Neodiprion lecontei: one gene and its partner. The protein of the gene in region 2 interacts with the protein of the main gene of each other region in a pairwise test. Links are inferred from orthologs where the notes say so. Each region holds a gene or a part of one and is shown on either strand. Other genes may lie near its edges.

The links. The genes of interacting proteins can lie anywhere in the genome.
Region 1: the proteins of fasciculation and elongation protein zeta-2 (region 2) and short coiled-coil protein B interact in binary tests that used the Homo sapiens proteins (3 or more experiments, as listed by UniProt). The link is inferred for Neodiprion lecontei from reciprocal best matches to the Homo sapiens genes FEZ2 and SCOC.

The regions. Positions count from the first base shown.
Region 1 is NC_060266.1:18,747,932-18,755,393, reverse strand, and holds short coiled-coil protein B, read right to left. Parts: upstream 5,462-7,462; 5' UTR 5,076-5,461; coding exon 4,997-5,075; intron 4,846-4,996; coding exon 4,726-4,845; intron 2,711-4,725; coding exon 2,624-2,710; intron 2,321-2,623; coding exon 2,178-2,320; 3' UTR 529-2,177; downstream 1-528. UniProt on the Homo sapiens protein: Positive regulator of amino acid starvation-induced autophagy.
Region 2 is NC_060265.1:20,723,434-20,728,441, forward strand, and holds the start of fasciculation and elongation protein zeta-2, read left to right. Parts: upstream 1-1,963; 5' UTR 1,964-2,141; coding exon 2,142-2,247; intron 2,248-5,008. UniProt on the Homo sapiens protein: Involved in axonal outgrowth and fasciculation.

The DNA of each region.
Region 1 (7,462 bases), on a different chromosome or scaffold from region 2:
ACATAGTTAATGTTACGGATATAAAATTAATTTTACAGACCGAAAATTAGTAATATGTATACCTATCTGATATCGGGTATTCTCATATGAATTTAAATGTTATTGTACGATCAATAGTAAACTACAAGTATAATTACTTTGGAAGGAGTATAGAGTGTCTATTAGACTGGGCCAAAAAAAACGAAGAATTTTTTTTTTTAATGTTACTGTAAAAACATTAAAAAAAATTATCCTGAAAGTTTGAGCCCTTAATATTAATATTAAGGGGTGTATCGTTACAGCTACTAATTTTTAAACAGTTACCGCATTTTTTTACCCAAAATCCGTCAATTATCAATCTGAAAAATTTTATTGAGAAAAAAAAAAAAAAAGAAACAAAATGGAGTTCACATAGCAATGTATTTTCACATTTTCATCAAAATTTATAGAAAAGTCCATTCTATGATGAGATTGATGAATGCTGGAATGAATGATTACTTTGGGCCTGAGGACAGCAATAATAATTTTCTAATAAACTAGTAACTTTGGTATTTTTTGCAACGAATTTATTCACTGATGTTTTCATTACAATCGCTAAACATTTTTCTTCCTTTTTCTGGGTATTCGTTTGATGTAAAATTCTTTTCTTTTCGCATACTCTGCTGGTGACATGGACTTTTAATTTGTCGTGTGACTTGGTATGTAACAATTATTTCAAGTCACTTTGTATAGGTATAATTGATTTTCATATTTTGTACATCTACATAAATAATACAGCGATGAAAAATCTGCCATGAAATCCATCAAGCAAAGCTCCATTTGAAAACCTTGATTTTGTTTCGTTGGATAATTGCTACACAGCTTTAGGATTTTCATCTATTTCACTCTTTTTTGGTCATTAAAATATGCGTAAATGATGTGATAATTATCATCATTTGAAACTGAGCGATGATTATTCATATTATCACTAAAAGAATATAATTATACGTTTGACCTATGCTAGTAAACATTTACAGTATGTAATAGACTCTCTTATGTCATGTAAGGTTGCGCATAAATTATGCTCGAATAATATCATATATTTAATATGTTACAAGGCAAGAAAACAGGCGTACATGGAAAATGATAGTCTGAAAATCAGAATCTTACAATATAAATGAAATTGATAGATCCACTTAAAAGTATTGCTGTTGCTATAATTAACAACTATATCACTCAGTTCAAATAAGTCGAGAGACCGAATAATATTCACATTTTCATTGTCTCTTTTTCATTATCAGTTTGTATACACTCAACCTAAATTACGATTAAATTATTTGCCCAAAAGTGATATTAAATGCCCAACACAATATAGGTACGTAATGTAGAATCATTTATGTGAATATTAGTTTGCTTTTCAATATATTGAAATATTAAATATATATTATATATATGTATGTATATGTGTGTGTGTGTGTGTTTAAGCTTTTAAGCACACTGTGGTAAAAATGTATAAAGTGTGAATTAAACTCTTTTATAATAAATGTGTCAAAGTTAAAAGCACGTTATTCTTGAAGCTCCAGCCCTGTATAATGGCAATACTAAAACATTTTCTGTCATGTGCAGATTAAATTAGTACATATACCACATACACATGTACCCACATGTATGCTGAAAATCGAATCGCAAATAAATTTATTTAATGAATGGGGTCTTTTCCCTTCTCTTTCTTTGCTGGTTCAATTTCACCACCTTTCCTAAAGTATGAACAGACTAGTAAACTCAATAGTCTAAGTCAACATTTATTAAACAGATGTAGCCTGTCTCACTCAACAATTGTTTCGTTCGCTTTTATATTTACAATAAATAGTGCGAACTTTGCAAAGTAAAATCATACAATATGTCGATAATTGATAAGGCAAAATTTATCTTATTAAACTGAGTACAGTCAGTTATTCATAATATTATGAGTACTATGATAAAGCCATACTACAAATGTGATGGTCTTTTGGAAATGCACTAGAATCAGATCTATAGAAATTATAACTGCTAGAACTGTGCGTAACATGAAAGTTTGCTAGTGTACGCATACATACGTCTCACGTACACTTTTGGACCGAAAATATCATTGAAATATAAAATCAAATTATACGTACTGGCCCAGGGGAGCGAATATAGCATTAAAATTCTTTTTCATGGTTGGAATAATTATACACAATTCACTTCTTTTTCGATTTTGGACTTGTGGATTGAAAAACGCTCGAAGCTGACATCAAGTTTTCAATATACTGACCAAGGACCTGATTTTCACTTCGCAACTTCAAGTTTTCTTCTTTGACACTGTCTACTCTTTGGGATAAATCTGTAAAAACAATTGAACACGTTGGAATGTATGTAATCCATTTTGTATAATTAATATTGCTTAAGGTAAATCCATTTATTTTTCCTCCATAATTATTCTTCAGAACAATCACTGCGTATTCAATTTAAGAGTGGTTGTACAGGACGATTTTTAGACACCAACAGCCAATATTGAACTACGCGATGATATTTTGAATAAATATTCTAAAGAGCATTATGATGCAATTAGGATTTATATTCAGCAAAACGTTAATCTAATGAAAGCATTAATCTGAAGTAATGATATCTATGGAATAGTACGAACCGTCCAGAGTATTCTGCAATTCCAAGACCTGAGCAATCAATCTGGCTTTTTCTTCTTGTTCATCTGGGCTAATGTCTGGATCCAAGCCTAGGCAAAATTTAGATAAACTACATATAAACAATACGCAAAGGCAAATCTTATCAACAGATACAAAAGACGTTCATAAAAATTTAGATGAAAGTTATAGCTTTTTTACGGGACAATTTTAAGGTGGATATCTAATTATTAATCAATATCTTACAAAAATTATATTCCTGCAAAGCCAAATGACAATGACAATCATTTTAATTCGAGGAAAACAAAGAAATAAAAGTTATTGAAGGTAAACTGACTAATTGTACATAGTAAGATATCATTTTTTGTACATTATCTGGATTATTTTATTTGAAATAACCAGCTTAGATAGATTGACCATATATTTCATTTTCATATAGATGAATTTACTGTTCATCTTCATTTTTGCATGATATAACGATGAGTTAAACTGTTTATATGGAAACAAAGGCAACACTATTCGGAGTCAAGACTCTAATGTTATTATGCAAAAACATGTAGGTCAATGGAAACGTCTTTCTGAAAAAAAAAAAAAAAACTTCGTAATCTACGATCACTGAGAAAGAAGACTAAAAAATTATTTGCAGCAACATTTTTTTATACCACACCCATAGAAATATATTATGAAATCAACAATTCTCTTTTCTCAATAGATTAGGAAGCTCCTGTTCATATAGTCATCTTTTTGATTATCTAGATAAAAGTTGGGAAATTTCATCCTGTATGGAAATAGTTGCATCAGAAACTATCTTTCATCTTATCTAAATAAATTTTTATATGAATAATTCTGTGTTTATCTAGATAATAATACTCATTCTCTTGTAAAACACTGTTTTGTAATAATTGGCAGTAACGGAAAGATTACGAACCATCTTCTCACAATTTGGAGCGTTTGAAATATTACCAACTGATCCAGTGAGATAAAAGAAAGTATCTTAGTCACTGGGTAAATTAACATACATCAAAAATGAATTAACTTAATTGTACGAAGATTTAAATACAAATACATAGAAATTGCAATCAGGAAAAACAGATATAAATTCTTTGATATTTTTAAGGGTTCTTGAGTGAAAATTCAATTATTTACTGAATGTTTTATGATAGGAATTTTGTACAAATGGTAAAATTCAGAGACAAATGTCGGTTTTCTCGTCCTAAAGCTACAGGATTACTATTTATTTTTATCTCCTGTACCACATTTGAAAAGTAACATTTACATTTAAAACTCGAACTTTGAAAAGAACTGCATTTCGGTGACATATTTTTTCATAATGGTAAATTAACTAAAAGGGTAATTGAATGGAAGCATTAATTCGCTCATTTACCCTTTCAGTTAATTTACTGTTATACAAAAATATCTCACCGAAATACAGTTCTTGTCAAAGTTTGAGCTGTCATTTCTTTGATAATGGTAAATTAACCAAAAGGGTAAGAATATCAAGACCTTTACTTCAAAATCGAATTACAGTAACATTCTGCAAAAACGTGATCAAAACTACTTTTGGCGATTTTACTGGCAGGATTATTGGTAACAATCTGGGCATGATAATTAATGATTTCACGACATAAGGAATCAAACTCCAACTTAGTTAAAACTAAAAAGTAAGGAAATGTCATTTAAGAAATTCCCTAGAATGTGAGTAAGACAAAAGGATATTTTCATACTAATAGTAAGTTTTCTCAAATTTTAGAACATTCATCTGTGCACTGGGTAACACGAGGCTGAAAGTAACAGCTGGAATTAGCAGCCAAATGTTCTAACATTCATCTAAATAAGGTAATGAAATCCGAAAATCAAAATTTTGAGACATATCTCGTATCCCGAATACTTTAATAGAATTATGATGCTAAAACTGAACTGCATTATTCTATTTCCAAAAAGTTCAATACATTTGGCTACCAACTCTGGCTGCTAGCTTCAGGTTCATATGAATACTCTGTGAATCTTAAATGGTGTAATAGTACAGAAAATTAATATCTGTACAGGAAAAGTTGATAACAATTGCACTATATGATTCATTCGATAAAAAAACATAACGATGTATTACTGTTAGGGCTGCTGCTGCCATTGGTGAATGTTGAAGGGATGGAGTCCATGCTCCGACCATGTACAAGAACATCCGAAACATGGGACATGTTGTCGGGAGCTTCCTCCTCAGGAATGATGACTAAAAAGTAAATTCTCCAATTGAAATAGGATAATTCAATGAAAGATTGTTGGGGAATCGATTGAACGATATTAAATACGTGCACAAATGTTATTCTCGATTATGTAGGTCACACAGTGGACATTTGCATGTTCTTATGTGCAATACCCACCCTGAGGGTCGTCATCTGCCAACGGTATGCTACTCATGTCATCTTGTAATTTTGCCCCGGACATCATCGACGTAGACATCGCCGGGATTATATTCTCGCTAAATTATCAGGGCTTACGATGATTCGTAATAAGTGTGGAGCTGTTCTCTGACGTCCGTCTGTATTGATTCAACGCATTTATTACTTATTAGGAATGTCACTTAGTGGGATTTACTATTCGTTTATTATTTCGTCGATGTCCGATTGGAAGTTGATTTTCACTCGAATTACTGGGAGTATTTGTAATTAACGTTTAACGGGTTTCATTAATTTAATATTGACTTTACGGTCAATCAACTTCCGCACATCAAAGTGTTCGCCATTTATTCGGAAACACGAAAATTGGCAGGCAGCAGCGGGGACAGACGATCCTATGAGTCATGAAATGTGAAACAAGACAGGAAGAGGTTCATGGCTGTATAAAAATAAAGGATGAACTGAGATGGGCGATCTTCAGCTCGGTCTACAATAGACGTATACCACGGAGTAGTAGGAATGGGACAATCGCGACAACACTCTGCAATAAAACTTGTCCACAGTTTTGAGGTGAACTAAGAAGAATCGTCTGCATGCGATTTGAGCGCCTTTTAGGGAAAAAAGTGAAACTCTCGCTATAAAATGTACAAAAAAAAAGGGTGGTGATCGTAACCTATAAACCTCCGTGCTTTAAACTATAGACTTATAAAGATAGACTGAGCGCTCCCACAAGAGGCACTGACAGTTACATATAAAGGACAGAGATATACCGGGAGTACTGCTCTCTCTCTACAATCGGTGTCATGATGGGAGACAACGGAACAGTGGAAGTCGAACAGCTATGGACATAGGCGCATAATTTCGCCGCATTCTCCTCTACCGCCTCGATCCCCTCCACAAATATCGTCAGAGAGAGAAGGCAGTACTCCCGGCATATTTCTGTCCTTTAAATGTTTGCTTCAAGTGGCTGATGAGAGCGCTCAGTCTATCTTGAAAAGTCTATGCTTTAAACACACTGCGTCGATTCGTAAAATACGCATTTGAAGTGACGACGCATATTGTTACGGCAATGCTCTAAACATTCGATCGCGTTGTGCGTAGCTTACGCGGTGTCTTCAACCGGCCGCCGAGACCATACAGATATATACAATAGAGCGTAAGCAACGGTGTAAGCGTTCCGTGAACGGATTCGAATCGGTTCTTTAAAGGACAGCAGATAATAATTCTACAGAGGAGAAAAACAGCTAGGCAGGCGCGTGCCGCTACCCCCACTCCATGTGAAGAGCGACAAAGAGGGCGGGAGAATTATTATCTTCCGTTCTTCAGAGAACTGATTTAAAGTTTCCTCTGAGCGCCGTGCAGCATCAGTCGTTTCCGAGCAGTCGGAGCGAAATTGCGTGCTGTCAGTATCGGTTCAACATTCAGACCGCGTTGTTCAGGTGGTGTCACGTTGTTCGATCAGTGTATTTCCACCATACTCATCGGTGAATAATAGACGAGGAGCAGCGTGTAGCCTGAAGAAAAACCGAGTTATCGAAATAAAAACATCGTGCGAACATTGAAGGTGAATTTCGTGTACGAATTTTCATTGTTTTGTGTAACTTCAGATTTCAGTGATGTCTATATTTGTCTCTATGCGTGGAGTGTCAATTTTATTATTTTTTTCGCTGATTTTCGGTAAATGCGCAATTGCATTGTTAGCAAGTTTATTCAGTCGGTTCAAACAGACAGCTACAGCCCAAAAAGTGAGTATAGTATCGAGTGCTAGTGCTATTGCGGTGCTGATTTTGTGGATTGTAAGAGATTAGTGAAAATCTGTATTGTGTAAAAAGTGCGTCGCTTCACCAATAACCCTGAGATGCTACAAGAAATACTACGTGTAAAAGCGTGGAGCAGCCCAGAGTCGAGGTAACAATGCTTATTTTAATTATTGATTGATAATCCAAGGTGGTACATTTAAAATCGAACTTTTGTTCTTGCATAACATGCAATGCATATATATGAAACTAGACAACAGTAATTATTAATTTGAAAACTGAAAGCCAATTTACAGTATTAATTCAAGTGTTCTATTTTGTTTTTCACAGCAGAGACTTCGGAGTAACTTTTTCATTTCTCAGCAACGTTGGTGAGTTTGCATGTGTTAGGTTACGGGTATTTTCCTGGGATTCCTCTTGTCACGTGGCGTGGCGGTGACAATTGTTACACAAATCTTCGATTTCTTAGCTGCATGAACATACTCATTCACGTTCGCAACGTGCTTGACTTTGGCGAATAATTTTGTTTTTCGCCTTTTAATTTACCGTAGCCTGCTTAAAGTTAGAAATTTTGCACGTTGCTAAAAGTGGAATGAGAATCGCGACAAGTACCCATCGCTTACTCGACATTCGCGAGATCGAATTGTGTTTCGTGACTGATCTAATAATCTACGTTTGAATTTACCGATGTCGT
Region 2 (5,008 bases):
GTGGGTTGCAATATTATCCACATGCATTTTCAATTATGTGCACGTCAAAATCTTTCAGAAATTGTCAGAGTAAAGAAATTTTTCGTTTCAAGTTGTTCTGAAAATAATCTTGGAAGTATAGCCTTCTAAATATTCCTCAAAACCATACCTAAATATCACCTTTCCGTCGAAATACAGAAAACTAAATTCGCGCCATAGGAATTTAGCGCCTAATAGCTGCTGACTTAACATACGTACCGGTACGGCGGGTTTCTGAATATAGGCGCCATCTGCCTTGCAGCTCACCGCCGGTATAGTTCTTGTCTTACCGACAGATTTCTGACAAGTCGGCTGAGCATTACAATTTTCGGTCATTCATTTACGCTTCAGCTACATGCTGTTAGATAGAGTCGCTTATTGACTAGTTTACCGCGGTGACATTTCGGTATAACGTTGCCCCGCGATTATGATATAAACGATGCTTCCCTAATTTGGTTAAAACATAAATACAAGATGTTTCGGTAGGCGAGTCAATTATTCACGTAAATAATCCGATTAACTATTAAAAAGTGCTGATGGATAGTTCTCAGCATTCGATATCAATTTTTCGCCTCAATATGCACCCTATTCAATTATATTTCCACTCACGCAAAGCACAACTTTGGTTTAAATCAAGCTGGTAAAACCAGAAAAAATAGTTCTACTATATTGGGTGAAATTGTTTATTCATCAGAATTTAAACAATGACAGTTCTACGTATTGCGAAACGGAAAACTTCGCTAATTATAAGCGACGTTATTTACGAAACGCTGTTGCAATTTGCAAGGGTTCGAATATTTCATTTTTTGAAGTAATCGGTACATCGTAGTATAATTAACAAAATTATGCCCAATTAGCCTTCGCCTTGCGCGAACGCAATATTATGTCAGTGGTCTTCGTTCTTTAATACACTTATGCACTCTCTGTTTCTCTGCGGTATACTTATATAGAGCATAGGAAAAATATAACTGGTTTGTGTTACGCTAAGCTTTGCACGTGCAACAGCGAATGTGAAGATTTTTTAAATATTGATAAACGAAGCGGTGAATGCGAGTGGAATGGTGATAAAAGGTATAGTGTAATTTTATTTTTATAAGTAATCATTTTGAATTCACATCAAATGGTAAAAAAATCGGCCCCTTATAAAGCGAGAACTAACGTTTCAATTATAAGCGCCATAGGCAGAGCAATGAATTTATATTGGCTATTGTCTTACGTTTCATTACGTGCGCCATTCGGCGATTTAATGTAAAGGTAAACATCGTCGACAGTCATATTGCGCACGATTCAAACGAGAAAGTTTCAACCTCATTTTGAAGCGTTCTAATTATAATAATACGCATATAGAACCAGCTTTGCACGAATGAAACTCAACTCGGTGTTGACAAATGAAAAAACGAAAAATACCGTCATCAATTCTATATCTTTATTGGCCCCTCTGGGACTTTACAATTTCCCTGAATCTTAAACTCTTTTACGATCTATATTTTCAATTCTAACTTAACAGCTTTAATATTTCCAGTACCACAATGATTGACTAAACAAAAAAAGAAGATCATAAAATATTTTTAGCGAATAATATGACCGGAAAAAAACGAGAATATAAACACAAATAGAAATGAAAATGAAAAGAATACGTTGACCTGCTTGGGAAAATTAACCGGATACACAAAGATTTTTGCACGTGAAAAATGTAACGAGCACGGAAGAGAAGGGCGGGAATGTTGTCTCTTGATACCTTTCGAGGTAATCGTAAGAGTTGATGTCGGATCGAAAGATATCTACGTATAGGTATGTATAATCGGGTAATCTTTTCGCGGAGGAACAGGAGAGCGGTCGTCAGGGAGGCGATGAGAGCCCCTCCCGTTACTCGCGTCGTGTTTCTCCTGACGGTCGGCATGGTAACGTCGAATCATCTGCCCCCCACTCCTCGCTCCAACATTCTCTTCCCCTCCTTGATTCAGTCGCCCTCCGAACGTCGGAGGAGCAGGATTGATACGGTCGTCGCGTAGGCTTCTTCTCCTCGTCCCTGTGAAAAAAAATACAACCTTACTTCAAGCTGAAGTGATTGTGTCTCTACCGGTGGCTTATCTCCCTGTCCGAACTGTGCCAAGTGGTTTATCATGAGGGACATGGCTGGTAAAATGGCCGAATTAAAGTTTGAAGCACCCCTGGCTCGCTTCGAAGAGGAGGAGACGTCCAGCCTCAAGAATATCAACTTGCTGACAGGTGCGGAATGGTCAATTTTATTTTTTCTCTCCTGCCTCGACCCTTTTCATTCCCCCCCTCCCCCCTCCTCCGCGTGTAAAGCGGCTGCTGACTGAGCTGAGCGGGTATTTGTTATTGTTCGCACTTTGCGTTGTTGGTTTGTGCTGAAGAATGAACTCCGTTTCATATGAGGCGGTAAAAAATCTCCTCGCGATCGGCTTTTGTTTCTTTATTTCAATCGCTTGAAGCTAGCCGCGAATCGCTATCCCCTCGACATAACATTCCCCGAAATGGACCGAAGTATTTATGAACAGCGACGATGCTGGTAGCTGGAATGAGGAAAGAAAGAGTGGAGAGAATGTTGAAAAGGATATCTTTTCGTCGCGAGAAAAGGATAAACGCGGTAGGGATGCGCCAAGTGATTCGGGGTCGAGAAGGGCCGAGATTCGAGCACACATCCACCTTTCGGAAAACCTTTTTAAAACAAAGTATGATCGGTCCGTGCCGCAGGTGCCGGCAGGTTGGCAGCGGCTACCTTGAGGCGCGCGATTTCGGTGAATTTCTTTAACATTTTTACGTTATGGTTACCCGCAGATGTGATCAGGGAGAATTTTACCGAATTTAAATACGATCTTCTTACGTTTATTTGCTTACTTTGTTATTTTTATTGTTGGACGAATACCTCCGTGAACTGACGGAGAAAAGTAACTAGTAGACGTGAAGATTTCACGAGACTGAAGTTAGCAACGTTGGTTAACGTATGAAAAACAAAACATTGCAAAGAAAATCTGTGGTGTCTGATGAGAATGACTTGAAATAGTTTCATTGCGGCTTACATGCGAACTGAATTTCGGAGAATTTTAAAATTGCGAAATCGCAATTTTTCGTTATAGAAAACGCGACGTCACATTAAGGTTACGAATTCGACCGCCTCGTGAAGTTTTCTGAACACACCCGATGGACACAAATTTGGGAAACGTCGAAATCCTTGGGAAAGTTGGAAAAAAATATGGAGATCAAAGCGAGGAATTCATTTTAATAATAATAATGATATTTATTGCGTTAGTAGGACAATTCCTTCTTATACACATAAGACAAGCAAACAGAACGAACCAACGGTCGCAATGATAAGATGCGGAAATATACACATAGAAGAATAGCATGATAGATAGGAAAGTTGAAAATAGAATAATAAAGTAGAACTGAAGACAAAAATATAATACGAAATTAAAAATAAATAAAACGACAGTAAAATGAATAAGATGTGCAAAATAAATGAAGTAAATAATATTGGCAAAAGTACGAGTACAATAAATAAATGAAATAAATACTGTGTATAGCGTAGAAAATTAATTATCTAGAAATTAAAGACATCAAATTCATAATTGCATCAAAGTATTTTTTATTACTACATCAATTGCGGAAGAATACAGTTTCCACTTTTGCTTCTATATAAAAAAGAATCAGAGAATAACCTGTGATAAAATTTTCGTTCCAGATTTTGTCGATCCACACCCTGTCAACTGAAACTTTTTATGTGAAATAATTTGCGAAACTCCGAGGTTTCGAATTATCTTGTTATACATGACCTGCATCCATAGTCAACACCATCCACTTATCCGCTGCTTATCTTACAGCCACGTAAATTGAAAAAAATTTCATGTACACGATACACAAATTCTATGGTAATTTATTCGTCCACGTTTGTTAATCACTGCGTCCGCTTACATCGTGTCACCGCAACAGCTATTTTTCACTTCTTCACTACAAATAGAGCGAAATTATCGGTTATATATCTACACACACGTGTACACCTAGTTACACCAGCCCGATGAAGACAAAGAGATGAGTCGCCTTTTTGATTGTATGTACCGGACAGCTGAAAAATGAGGCAATTGAAGGGGGCGACTCATTCATTCCCCGCAGCAATTGCAGCAGCTGCAGCAGCAGCAGTAGCAACACCACTAGAAGCAGTTTAAAAAAGAATGAGAAAAATTTCGTTACAATTAACGGTACTTCGAAATTGCGAGCATGATCAAAAATAACAGTAACGCACGATAACTTTTCTAGCTACAGCTGAAAAACTAATTTTCATTTTCGTTTGGTTATGAATAAAAAAAAAAAAAAAAAAAAAAAAATAGGTAGATACTGTGCAGCAGTAACCTGCACACACCTACGAATATCTCTCGTCGTATGTCACACTAAAGTAAAACTAAAGAGCTTGACCTATTCATAGCCACTATTGTGGGTCACGGTGAGGAGAGCTGAAACTGGGGATGTAAATCTTATAGTATATCCGTTGAATACACGCGCCTGTGAATGGAACCGCGTATTTTTTCTCGGCCGCCTTCCCTCGGGTTATCGCCGCTTATCGCAGGGCAAACGACTACGCATCCTCTCCGGTAGTCTAGCGTGTAGATATAAGGTACGTACGTACTTACGCATGCTGCCTCTGCATGCAGGCTGCAGCTTAAATGCCGCCGCCGCCTGTTTGTGAGAACCGGACGGCGCGAGCCGAACACATTAACCTTTCGTTCCTGCTCCCGTTTAATCTACGCCTTTAGTGTCAACGCCTACTAATCGTCGTCGTAGCGATAAACCCTTCCTAATGTAAATCCCCAACTTGTCAGGCATGCCCTGCCGTTAAATATAATATAGAGATGAGATCAAGACTTCAATGAGAAGACAGATTCATTGAATTCGTGTGTAGAATATGTGTAATAATGCACGACGGTCAACGACGATTCCATCCATGCTCACCTAAAGTTTCACCTAAGTTTCA